Arabidopsis thaliana: one gene and its partner. The protein of the gene in region 2 purifies or fractionates together with the protein of the main gene of each other region. This does not show direct contact. Each region holds a gene or a part of one and is shown on either strand. Other genes may lie near its edges.

Region 1 (5,300 bases), on a different chromosome or scaffold from region 2:
CGACCGCATTTTATGTTTTTCATCATATGAACTCAACTTTATGAACATAATTTTGTTTGAATCTGATATATATGCTTCCCTGGAATGCAGATAGTGGTAGCAGTGAAGAAGATACTGTATGCAACCGATGCAAATGAATCTGCATTAGAAGACGCTCAAGAGTACCTAAACCAGTCCCTAGGAGTTGAAGATGATGAAGCTGAAGGAAACGGAGAACAACTGGAAGAAGAAAAGACTCAAGCCTAAGCTCTGACTATTAACAATCCTAAGTAGAAGGGTGACGAACAATGGCTGGCCATGGCCTTCTCTTCCAAGTTTCTTTTGTGAAAGGAAACTAACTGAAACTTGAAGATGAATGAGCTTCTTCTATTAGAAAGATTAGTTTGAAAACAAAGAGACTTATTTTTGTTACTATTCAAGAGGCTTTTTTCTTGTTTTAAAACAATACTTTGACCCAAAGTGAGAATTTAAGTGTCGGTGCTTCCTTTTTGTTTTGTTTCTCTATTAACTCATGAATCATTAATTTAAGACGAAACAGAACCAGAGCTGGTTAGTTCAATTTCAATTAAAAATCCAAAGTTGTGTGTTATATCTTAATCCACAAATAAATGAAATGATCTCACCTATGAATGTACCTTCGTATGAGATATTGATTTGCTGAAAAATATCTAACTAAGAGAACACTCTACTCTTCGCTACCTTCTTGGCTTCGGCTTCACTCAAATATCGAATTCTATTCTCACGTAGCCACTTATCGCCTCTACTCAGACCGTCCTTCACTTGCTTCTCTTCCATCTTCAGAAGCGTAAGCCCCTCACTTAGTTTAGGAAAGAAACCTTCGGGTCTAACACACCACGTCCGGAAAACCCCATATAGAACCTCCATGTCTACTTTTAACCTTTCGACTCCATCATTGGTAAACTTCACGTTCGCCATCAAGATGCTGTTGAAGAACAACTTGTCTATCTCTGAGGCTAGAGTTCTCCACATAGCGGTAAAGTCTGCTTTGTTTAGATTTTCTTCTATTATAGACGTTTTTCCTTGCAAGTAGTCTAGAGCCCCAACTAGTGCCCTTGACACCGTCCATTCTTTGTCTTTCTTCTCCTGCCATTGCTTTCTGTTTTTTATGTATTCTCGGATTCGAGCATCAAAGCCTCTCAAGATCACCACCGACAATTTGTTTATCCACTCTAGCCGGAACTTCTCCAACTTTTCAAATTCTTCTCCGAAAATACCTTCAGAAGGTTCAGTAAAGTTCTCCAGTCCTGGAACTTCCTGTGGATCGTGCTGTCCAGTTCCCATTTCAAGGAAAAAGACATCCTCAGACCATTCTTCTAAGACAGATTCAATGTAGTGACCAGCATTAATAGAGTTCGAGACCTTGATTAGATCGTTATTTTCAGTTAATGCAGTTAGTCCGTCGGCGTCTTGGCACCTGAGAAGGAGGCAATCCAAGAACTTATGAATTGTTGGTGAGGCTGCCAGTCTCAGGAACCTAGCCCTCAAATATAAGGCCGGCACTGATTTGGATCGTTCGATTATTGATGACAAATGCTGTAGAAAGATGCTGGAAATGATTGGTGGTCTGTAAACGTTGGAACTGGAGATGAGTTCGTCTTGGACCTTCGCTGTCCAATTTCTGTCGTTATCAATCTCCTCCTTGAATTTGACGAGCCTCTCATCTAGCTCTATCTCTGCCCATAAATCAAGCCAATCAGGTCTGTCACAGAAAACTGAGAGAGAGGAAATTCTCAAAAGATTCCCATCTTCTTGAAGCGAAAGTATTCCTGATTGTGATACCAAAGACTGAACTCGCTTATCAAAGGAGATCATCAGGTCAATGAGATGGAGCCACGAGACCTTAGCCTCAGAACGAAGATCAGTTTCATTTGCTTCGTCTAGCTGACCAACATATATAGGAAAGATCTCTTTCACCAAGTACAAAGACAGTGAGCTTACCATAGCCGAAACCCACTCTTCTCGGCAACTGTACCCAGCTAGTTTTGCTTCATCCACAAGCGGTTGTAACAACTCATCCATAGAATCGACATAGTCCCTTGTGATTTTATACACAAGGGCAAAAATGAATTCTGGCTTTTCACTCCACTTTGTAAAATGTCGCTGAGATGCAACTGTCAGAGGGTTGACCAGCTCTTCAATAGCCCAGAGTGGCTGGTGGAAAAGAACATTTTCTCCCTTATGGATCCCAAGCTGCCGCGACTTTCTTTGCAACTGTAACCCCTGCAGGCTACACAAGGCATGAAAACTTCCACAGTATTGACTTTTGAGGCTCCCTTCCATGTTGAAAAGCGGATTTTGAACATTTTCTGACTTTGAATCAAGACTTGCCGAAGTTAGTGTAGAAAGCTGAGGTGGCCATCGAAGAGAAGAAAGCAACGCTCTGTAATCAGCAATTGCCTGAGGTCTCATCATAGCTAAAGCTCTATCAACTCTATGATCAACAGCAGAAACAAGACGTGCCCACCGAGGATGTCTCTTTGCTACTGAACTCAGTATCTCTTCTGTCGTTTTAAGTGTTTTAATAGCATGTAGACGCACTTCCTGAAATCAGTAAAAACTTAGAACATTGAACCACACACACTGGCTAAAACTACGGAACAGTCTAAGCTGAAGACAGTGTGCTTACTTCAAAACCACTTGACCGAGATGTTCTTAAGTTTTTATTCAAAGAAGACATCACAGCATCCTCAATATCACCAACTAAAGTGTCAAGTTTTAGTGCAGTCTCTGAAACATAGAGAAAGATCTTAAAATGTTGAATACCACAGTGACCAAACTAAGAAAGAAGGTTGGTAACTCCAACTTTGGGACTAACTAATCCCGATCAACATCGATAACACCAAATCATAAAATAGAGCTAGTCTTTATCAGAAAGCAGCCATCAAATACAAAACGCCTTAACACCAAACATACCAGCATAAGCACGCACAGACTCAACTTGTGCTACTTCCTTTGCTAATGAAGGAAGATCCTCTCCGGCTACATGCTCCGTCGCCTCCTCCTCCTTTCCGCTATCTGAATGAATTAAACAATTATCAAATTCTCAAATTATAACGGGAATATATTCAATCTTCCATCACCAGGACTGAATTTACATATTTGACTACAACATTTCAAGAACATAATCTACATCCAGAAGAATCGTGATGAAATCATACGAACCTGACGCGGAGCGAGTAACGGAGGTAGAAGAAGAGAGATCAGCCAATTTGGCATTAACCTCGAAAAATAGACCACCGACGCGATCGGAAAACGAAGCGTAAGCAGCGAGACCTGACTCGAGCTGGCGATTTAATCCGGCCAATCTCTGATCCAATTCGGAAATCTCCGTCTGTAACTCGGAAACCAGACCCGTAGAATGAGAGAGATCCGTGGATTCTTTGAATCTGCCATCGAGAAAGCTAAATACCGAAGCGGAGAAGCTCGAGACCTGTGGAAGTGGTTTGATCGCCTCCATTTGCGATTCGTCGTGGCCTCAGTTTCATCAAGAACAATGAAAAATTGAAATTTCGTTGGAAGAAGATACTGAGTCAATGACTCGGAGTGTTAACGAGTTGCGAGTTTTGGTAACTCGGATTAATGGGCCCTGGTTAAGCCCACAAAAATGTTTTTAACATATCAAGTAAATTAAAACTGTAATGGCATTCTCAAAGAAATGACATTCTTTTATCGGAAAATTATCACTAAAATCTCCAACTTTTATTTGAAAACATTTGTTTAAATTCTCAACATCCAACGAAACGAAATAAATATCAAATTTATGTTGATTTTTCTAATAAATATCAAACTTATGTGACTTTCTTAATAAATACAAAATATTTGCTAATGGTCATATTAGACATGATGTTAAGTAGATTAACAGATTCCGTTAACAAAATTAATTTTTTATTAACATACCCGTTAATTCAAAACATTATTGCTTTCTATAACAACAAAACGTTATTGTTTTCTATAACAACAAAGCGAAAAAAAAACAAAAAAAAAACAAAGTGACGTCGAGCAAAATCTCCAAATTCAATCAATCATGGATCCCCAAATCGAGCAAAATCTTTAACCTTAAATTCCTATATGACTTGAAATTAAAAATTTAATTGACCCGTTATGACAAAAAGACGATGTTTTATTCTTAGAGAGAACGTTGTCATTTTCAATTAACGAGTCTATTAAGAGAAAATGAACTTTGATAGCAGGATTTGTTATCCCACTTAACGGTATGTCTAATATGGCTATATCAACAAAATTTTATTATTTATTTGGAAAGTCAATAAAAGTTTGGTATTTTACAGTATTTGAAAAATCGACAGAAATTTGATATTTATTTTGTTTCGTGGAAAATTGAGGATTTAAATTAACGTTTTAAACAATTTGAGGATTTTGATGACATTGTTTCCATTCTTTTAAGCCAAATTAGGATAATTAATCAATGGAATCGCACCAGCAAACTCAGGATTAGTATTTTGCATGCATTTCATATAAAACCGAGAGTGTGATGTACACGCGCATGTATATTTAAGTACATATGATTCCTAAAATAAACAATAAATTTCGAGTTGTCTAAGGAAATGTGTAGTATTGAGTCTCGTACATATTTGTATATATAAATCATCTTACACAATAACATAGAAGCGAATCATTGAGACAGAAACCATATGGCAAAGAGATCTCCGTAATCTTTCTTGGAATTCTATCGTACTAAAATCTAATAAAGTTCTATCAATATTTTAAAGACTCCTTCAACTTGGGTTTCTTCACACTTTCAAAAACAATATTTCATGTGTTTTCTTTTTGTGTACAACCTCTAAACTTGGTTGGATATAAAAAACACACAACATCGAAAATTGGTTGGGTGTTAGTGTGGGCTAAAAATTCTAATTTCCCAAGGATTCTTAGTTTGTGTATTTCTAATGTCCTTTGTATTTCTTATAATTTTGTTTGGCACGGATCATCTCTGTTTTAGGTTCTCTACTTTTTGTAATACATAATCTTAATCATCTAATGATATTATTTGGAATGAAAAAAGTGGAGCAATGACATTTAGCAAGAAACAAGTTTCTGTTAAAAAAAAAAAAAGTTTCTGTTTACATTTGAAAAATTTCAGAACTGATTATTACAATGAGAAGTAGACTTGAGAACTTGTAATCAATTGAGTGTGTATACCGTACGCTAAAAATTAATATTATATTAGAAAAGTTAAACCAAAGAAATAAAAACTAAATTAAAAGAGAGTACACATCGTGATTCTTCGCTGTATATTCCAAAAACTCATGTGCCCCGACGAG
Region 2 (6,623 bases):
TGACGTCATCTCAAGTTCTTGATAGATCACTAAATCTAATAAGATCTTCTAATGAAATTTTTCCTTTTCGGGCCCTTAATTATGACCGTTATGTGATTTTGTTAACATTTTAAACATGTGGCCAACATAAGGAAAAATACCAATGTCGACAAAAAAAAAAAAGGAAAAATACCAATGTCTCTTAACTCTATTTCTTAATGTAATTTTGTTGGTTTATGAGACCAAAATATTTTCCTAGTGTTCATAACTTAATATTAGTTTATGAAATAGTTTTTAATATAATATTAGCATCTAAACACATCATACATTATATTTGAATAAGTATATCAAAAGTTTAATTTCATTGAAAATCATTGTATCAATAATTTCATAGAAATATTTAGTGTTTTCATGTGTTACGGTTTTCAATATCCTATCAGTTTCTTCTTTTTTATTTTTATTTTTTTTATATTAGTTTCTTAGTTAAGGGTTTTCAAGTTTTTAGCTAACTGGAAAATGCAATATTTGGAGAATTTGTACCGGAAAATTGTTGTTACCCAGAGCGTTTTACTTGTTGAATCTAAAGCCCAAATGTACAACAAAATCTGGAACACGCTTTTAAACCTAAAGTTTTAAACTCATCAGCTAAAACTCTCTTTACATATATATTCTTACACAAGAGTGCGTCGTCGATGTTACAAGCTGCTGACATTAAAATACCTCATGGCTCTTTTGCCAAAATAGGCTTTCACTTGCTTCTTCTCACAAGTCTTGAGTTTTTTTTTTAAGTTTTATCATTTCCAATCTACTGGTTAACCTCGTCTATCCTCCATAAGCATTCTTTTCTCAGCGGCGAATCTGTAAATATAGCTTTGATGAAATCTTGTACCTGTAACCAAGTACATTCCAAAAGCTTTCAGAATCACCATAACCAATAATCAAAGATCCAATAATCACCATAAGAAATAGCCTTAATCCATATATCAGGTAGTAGGACACGAGGTCAAACGATTTAAAAAGATTGTACCTCTGTTCTTGTGAAATTGCATCTAAATAACTCCCCGCTTTCCCAAGCTGAAGTTATAGACATGAGAGGCATATCCAATAGTTCTGGAAAATGATAAACAATAAGAAAAGCCATGGTAAGAAAACTTCGCTGCGCCAATGTCAAGTTAGCAATAAACTGAGGGATATTTAAAAGAAAAAAGAAAGAAAAGACATGCCTGCTAGTTTACGGGTTTTGCGCAAAGATGGTATGATATCATCAAGAGGACGAGAAGTCTCATCTGCAGATCTCACGGAATCGAGTACAGAAGATAGATTCTTCAACATGAGATAAATCAGTTTTTGTAGCTGAGAATATATAAGCAAACATTTTCATTACGCAGTTAAAATATAACATTGCAGAAGCGACTAGCAAGGAGAAACAGCTACCTCGAAAGTTTCGTCAGCAGCCATGTCGTCTAGAAGAAGAATATCTCTAGCTATTCTGCGAAATACAGACTCCAAAACTGCGCACATGCTTTGCTTGTAAGTTTTGGGCCGTAAGACTGGCTCCCATATCATATGCACATTCTTTAGACTAAAGACAACCTATAAAACAATTGCATTTTCCTCATATAACTGACACTTTATTGGAAAGAAGGTAAGAGAAAAGCAAACAATTTCAAGTCTGTGTGTTTACCTGATCAATGCTAAATTCTGCAGATTTAAACTGTTTAATTTGATGAGTATTCTGAAATCCATCTGCACTATCTATAGCCTGATCGTAGATGCAAAATGTTAGACGAGGAATCAATACTGAGTACATAATATTACTTTGTAAGATTTAAGCACAGTTTTTTCCACACAGATTCACCTCTCGCAGACTTGAAATTACTAGATGAACTTGTTTTTGCAAAACTTCTTCGGCCATCAGTTTAAATCTTGGGGCTATGTCAGCAAAGACTGCATACTCCTTGATGGAGCTAGGGAAGCTAGCACGATACTGTGAACAAAAAATGATGATAAAGTCAGCAGAAGGGGATAATTATAACTTTCACCTGTCAATGAAAAGGATGCTTAAGAAGACAATTACTTAACCGAAAAAAAGAAATTAAAAATAGCGGTTTATCTTGCTTAAGACACATTGTTCATACCTCAAAAGCAAGGCCAAGTATCTCTTCGAACAAATATAGACAATCGTTGTGCAGAAGAACAGCAGCTTCATTGAGGCCATCGAGTTGTTTCTCTAGCTTCACATTTCAACGGAGTAAGGAAAAAGAAGAATAAGAATTTGTGCATATTGGTGAGAAATTTCCATGTGACGACAGTCACTATATTGATTCAGTTGTTAAATCTTCATTGAAAACTATTTTTTTACTGACCTTGACAGGAACAACAGCTTCATATAGAAGGATAGAATCTCTAGCAGCGTTGTAGAACTCTGAAGCAACCCTTGCAGAAGAAACACAGACATCCTGTATAAAAATGAGTTTATTATCCCAACCGTGTCTGGAAAAAGCTTATATTGAATTGCAAAAGTCTGAAAAGAGCCACCTCGAGCGTCTTATGCACCAAATTCATAAGTTGAGATGCAGCTTCAGATACCACACACCTTTCAGAGGAGAAAAGTAAGCAGACGATGTGCTTGGCATTCCTCATAGCAATATCCTGGAAAACGGAGTTCACAATCCTGATCTTTCACATGAAAAGGTTAATGCGGTAAATATGACATGATGATGATGAAAATCAAAAGCCCACCTGGGGAATCGTAAAGTTACACTGCAACAGCAAATTTCTTGCTTTTGCTAGGATTTCTATCTTCTTTCTAGATGCAAAATGAACCTCCACATCTTCAGCATATTTGCTGAGCCTACTCTCTGCGTCAGATGATGAAACAAAATTCAGTTCCTTTAGAGCGGCTTCGAATTGAGAGGTCCGCTCGATAATTTTCTGAAAGTCAGCAAGTTTTGAAGCATCTTCTGGGACAACCTGACTCCAAAGAAAACAATAACCTTTAAACAGACTACAACAGTTAAAGTACAAAGGAGAAGAGTGCTCTCACACCAAAGAAATTTCTACAAAATTTCACAACTTCACGAGTTCTAAAAGCAAACCTTTGAAAGAAATTTAGATATAATTAACTCTGATATCCTCGGCCATGTCAACCTCCCAAAAGAATGGATCCATGTAACGTTTCCAAAGCACAAGGAACTGCAAATGAACTTAACAACCTTAAGAATTCCAGAATACATTGCATCTCCATCCACATCTTCAAACTGCATTATTAAGTGGGTAAGTATTTAAAGGTTCAGAAGACATAGACCAAATGCAGGAAATATAAAAAGCACATAATCTATATAGGCTAGAGACAAAGAAGATATTCATGAGATGGACAGAGGCTTCTCTAGACCTTATGATCTGAGGATTGCTCTAGCCTTAGTGTCGCTTCGGTGACTTCCCCTGCGGATTTACATAAATCTTCCACAGCGGCAAAGGTAGATGCATGAGTTACAGCTGGAGTGATGACATGCTTAAAGATTGAGTCAGCTGCTTTCGCAAGCCCATAGTCTAATATTCCAATCACCTAGATAAATCCAGAACAGTCAAATGCCAAAAAGTGTAATCTAACAAATGACTTAACACAGAAATAAAAATAAAAATTGATACAGAAGTCAAATCATATATCCATACCTCCATTGCCTCTAGAACAGTACTAAGAGCGATTCCAGCAGTCTCACCAACGCTTAGCTGATACTTAATCCGGATTCTACTCGAGTCTAGCTCAAAACGCACTGCATTCTCCATGAACTTTGCAAGCACCTCTTGAATCTGCAAAACACATACACGATTCTTTGAAATGTGGATGCAAATTCGAAGATTAAAGACACTAAGCTAGCCATTGGCACTGAGTTTAACTAAGGTTGCACCTCGTCAAAGCAATTAGACCATTCCTTCCTAAGTAAAGCGTAAGCCACAGGTTCTCCATCTTCCTCTTCACCAATTCTCAATACAACTTTAAGTTCTCTGATTCTCTCAGCGGCGAATCTGAAACGTCCATTTTTCAAAGCTTCCTTCGTTTCCTGCAATGCCTCACAAATTCCCACGATCGCATTCACTAAATCAAGAGATTCTCTTTTCAATTTCACTTCCTTAGTCTTTTCCGTTATCTCATCTACCACACTGCGTATCTCAACATCAATCGGACGGTCAGAAACCAATTGTAGGACATCGGAGACGTCATCGGAGATCAGACGAGTCCTCGAGACGGTGTCTTGACAAAGAGAAAATAGCTCCGAGAAATCAGAGTGATGAGCGACGAGATAAGACTGAACTTTGGACTTGATCCGCAGAGAATGAGACTCTAAGCGGTTTATGAGGAGACGGAGATCCGGTGCAGATAACGGAGTTGTGGGATCGTTTAGATCGTGTCCGGCGAGAAGGTCCCGAACATTGATCGATTCAAACAACGCGTCTATCTCCGGCATGACGGAGGGACGGTGGTCGTTGTCGTCGGGGCTCTTTTCCGATTAGAGAGTAATTGGCGGTGATAGATTTGGCGGTGACGATGGACCTTATTGAACACGGACGTTTTTATTTTACTTTTACTATTGGGCCTATCAAATAAAATGTTAGGCTCAAGGCCCAAGTCTTCATCGGGAACTTGTAATAATGTATGTTTTTTGACATCGAAAACATGTCATTTTTTTGTTCCTTGTCACTAACGTACCACTTATTTAAATGATTTTCTTTATTTTTGCTATGAATATTCAAGTAAAATACTGCAACAGTTACTTAGCCTTAAGACCAGCTCAAAAGAAATCACTCTACTCCATTAATAGTAAATTCCATTTCTTATATAAGCACAATTGTAAGAGAAAAGCATAACAAAAGAACATAGTAAATAAAAAGAACAAAAGCTTTTAAAGTAAGTTGGATTAATCTATATTATCATTTGTTTTTCAGACAAGAGAAAGAGAGATAGAGAGAAAGTGTCTGATCCATGGCTGCATCTAGAGAATTTATTATATGTTGCTTCTTAACACTTCTCCTATGCAATTTCTTCATGAGAGTCGAGTCTGGTGCTGCTGCTGACGTCAGTAGAGGAGGATGCGGCGGCGGCGATGGCAGCCTCGGGGACGATAATGAGCGGTGTGTGGAGGCGGTGAAAGAAGACGACGACGATGATGTGGATGATGTTTACAAAGTGATCAACAAGATGAGGATATATGCTTGATCATGCATGCATGATGCATTCTTTATATATAGGGCTATTTATTTATTACTTTTTTTTCGTTTCCATTTTCTTTTCTCAAGTTTTTTCCGATTCTTCTGTTTTTCTCTTAATCTATTTGCTTTTTCTTTTTTCCCCTTAATGAGAGAGATTATGATCCGAAGAAGAACCTGTTGCCTTAAATATATGGTTTACTAACTTTCTTGGATCCGACAAGAATGTACTTATCCTAGCGTTACACATTTTACCTCTATTATAAGTACATTATTTATTTAAAAAAAACAACAAAATATATTAATTATTTTCTTATATAACAATACACATGAATTTTCTACATAAATATCCAAAAATATAACAAATGACTGGTAATATACAATTATCTTTTGCTAAGTTAGACAATACTAGCTTACCATACACGTACCAGTCTCAGCTTGCTGCTACTTAAAAAAACATTATTCTCATAGAATTAGTTACAAAAATTTTGTATTTTATAGTTTTACTAATTTAGTTGAAAAATTAAGTTTTATTTATGTAATTTTATCTTTTCTTCTTTTTTCAAGAAAAATTATATCTCATAGTATCAACCCCCACGACATCTTTGGCTAGCTTCGCAACCTGGTTTATACGGATTAGCCGGTTGCATCTTGCAACCAGCTGAAGATCCAGGAGCACAACCTTTGGGTAAATCTTCTCGCATAGCTGGAGCGCCTATACTGTTTGCCTCCGTTGTGCTCATGACGATAGATATAATAATTATAAGAGCAAATGATTGTACAACTGTTTTCTTGGATATACCCATTTTTCCTTATTGATAAACTTTTTTACTTTTTACTTCTTATTCCCAATAAACATTTGCGCTATTATATAGTGAAGATTTGTTGCTAAATAAAGAATTTTCTGATTGGTTTAGTCATTTGTAACCGTTGAATGTTTTGTCGGGTTTGCGCATTGTTTGGTGAACCATACTTATTATTATTATTTTTGTAAAAATAAAGATATCTCTAATCAAAGCCGTTTCTAATATTTTAGAGGCCAAAACAACTAAAGAAAATATTAAAATATGGTCGTTTTTTGATATTCAAATAAAAATTCGTTATAAGTTTTACTTCAAATTAAAACAAAAATTAACATAGTACTGTTAAATAAGTACATTATACCATATCTTGGTTCAAAATTTGTAGAGATATTGTAAACAAAACAAATAATGAAGAAAAAAAAAACAAAAAAGCCATGAAGAATGTTTCATAAAAGTAAAATTTCTAAATATAAAGTAAACAAAAGAGAGAGAGAAATGTTTTAAGTTAAATAGATGTTAAATAAAAAATGGATGTAAGAAAAAAAAGTTATTGATAAAAGAAGAAATATATCTAGGCACATTGCATTGTGTTGCTCGTCTCTGGCTAGGCGTACATATCTCGCCTTTATAATT

What was found. The genes of interacting proteins can lie anywhere in the genome.
Region 1: the proteins of ATZW10 (region 2) and MAG2 purify together in Arabidopsis thaliana (affinity purification with mass spectrometry; one study listed by BioGRID). This does not show direct contact.

What each region holds. Positions count from the first base shown.
Region 1 is NC_003074.8:17,583,101-17,588,400, forward strand, and holds MAG2 (RINT-1 / TIP-1 family), read right to left. Parts: upstream 3,608-5,300; 5' UTR 3,479-3,607; coding exon 3,184-3,478; intron 3,037-3,183; coding exon 2,935-3,036; intron 2,749-2,934; coding exon 2,648-2,748; intron 2,563-2,647; coding exon 673-2,562; 3' UTR 501-672; downstream 1-500. Other genes in the region: microtubule end binding protein EB1A, read left to right, coding at 91-246. UniProt on the Arabidopsis thaliana protein: Functions in the anterograde transport of storage protein precursors from the endoplasmic reticulum (ER) to the Golgi complex and in the retrograde transport from the Golgi complex to the ER.
Region 2 is NC_003071.7:13,951,632-13,958,254, reverse strand, and holds ATZW10 (centromere/kinetochore protein, putative (ZW10)), read right to left. Parts: upstream 4,591-6,623; 5' UTR 4,449-4,590; coding exon 3,891-4,448; intron 3,793-3,890; coding exon 3,655-3,792; intron 3,548-3,654; coding exon 3,374-3,547; intron 3,240-3,373; coding exon 3,078-3,239; intron 2,953-3,077; coding exon 2,722-2,952; intron 2,632-2,721; coding exon 2,518-2,631; intron 2,439-2,517; coding exon 2,346-2,438; intron 2,214-2,345; coding exon 2,118-2,213; intron 1,967-2,117; coding exon 1,838-1,966; intron 1,742-1,837; coding exon 1,664-1,741; intron 1,573-1,663; coding exon 1,414-1,572; intron 1,333-1,413; coding exon 1,203-1,332; intron 1,090-1,202; coding exon 1,007-1,089; intron 869-1,006; coding exon 785-868; 3' UTR 507-784; downstream 1-506. Other genes in the region: RALFL17 (RALF-like 17), read left to right, coding at 4,964-5,197; AT2G32885 (Rapid alkalinization factor (RALF) family protein), read right to left, coding at 5,775-5,993. UniProt on the Arabidopsis thaliana protein: May be required for accurate chromosome segregation. Required for proper maturation of seed storage proteins. Forms a complex with MAG2, MIP2 and MIP3 on the endoplasmic reticulum that may be responsible for efficient transport of seed storage proteins.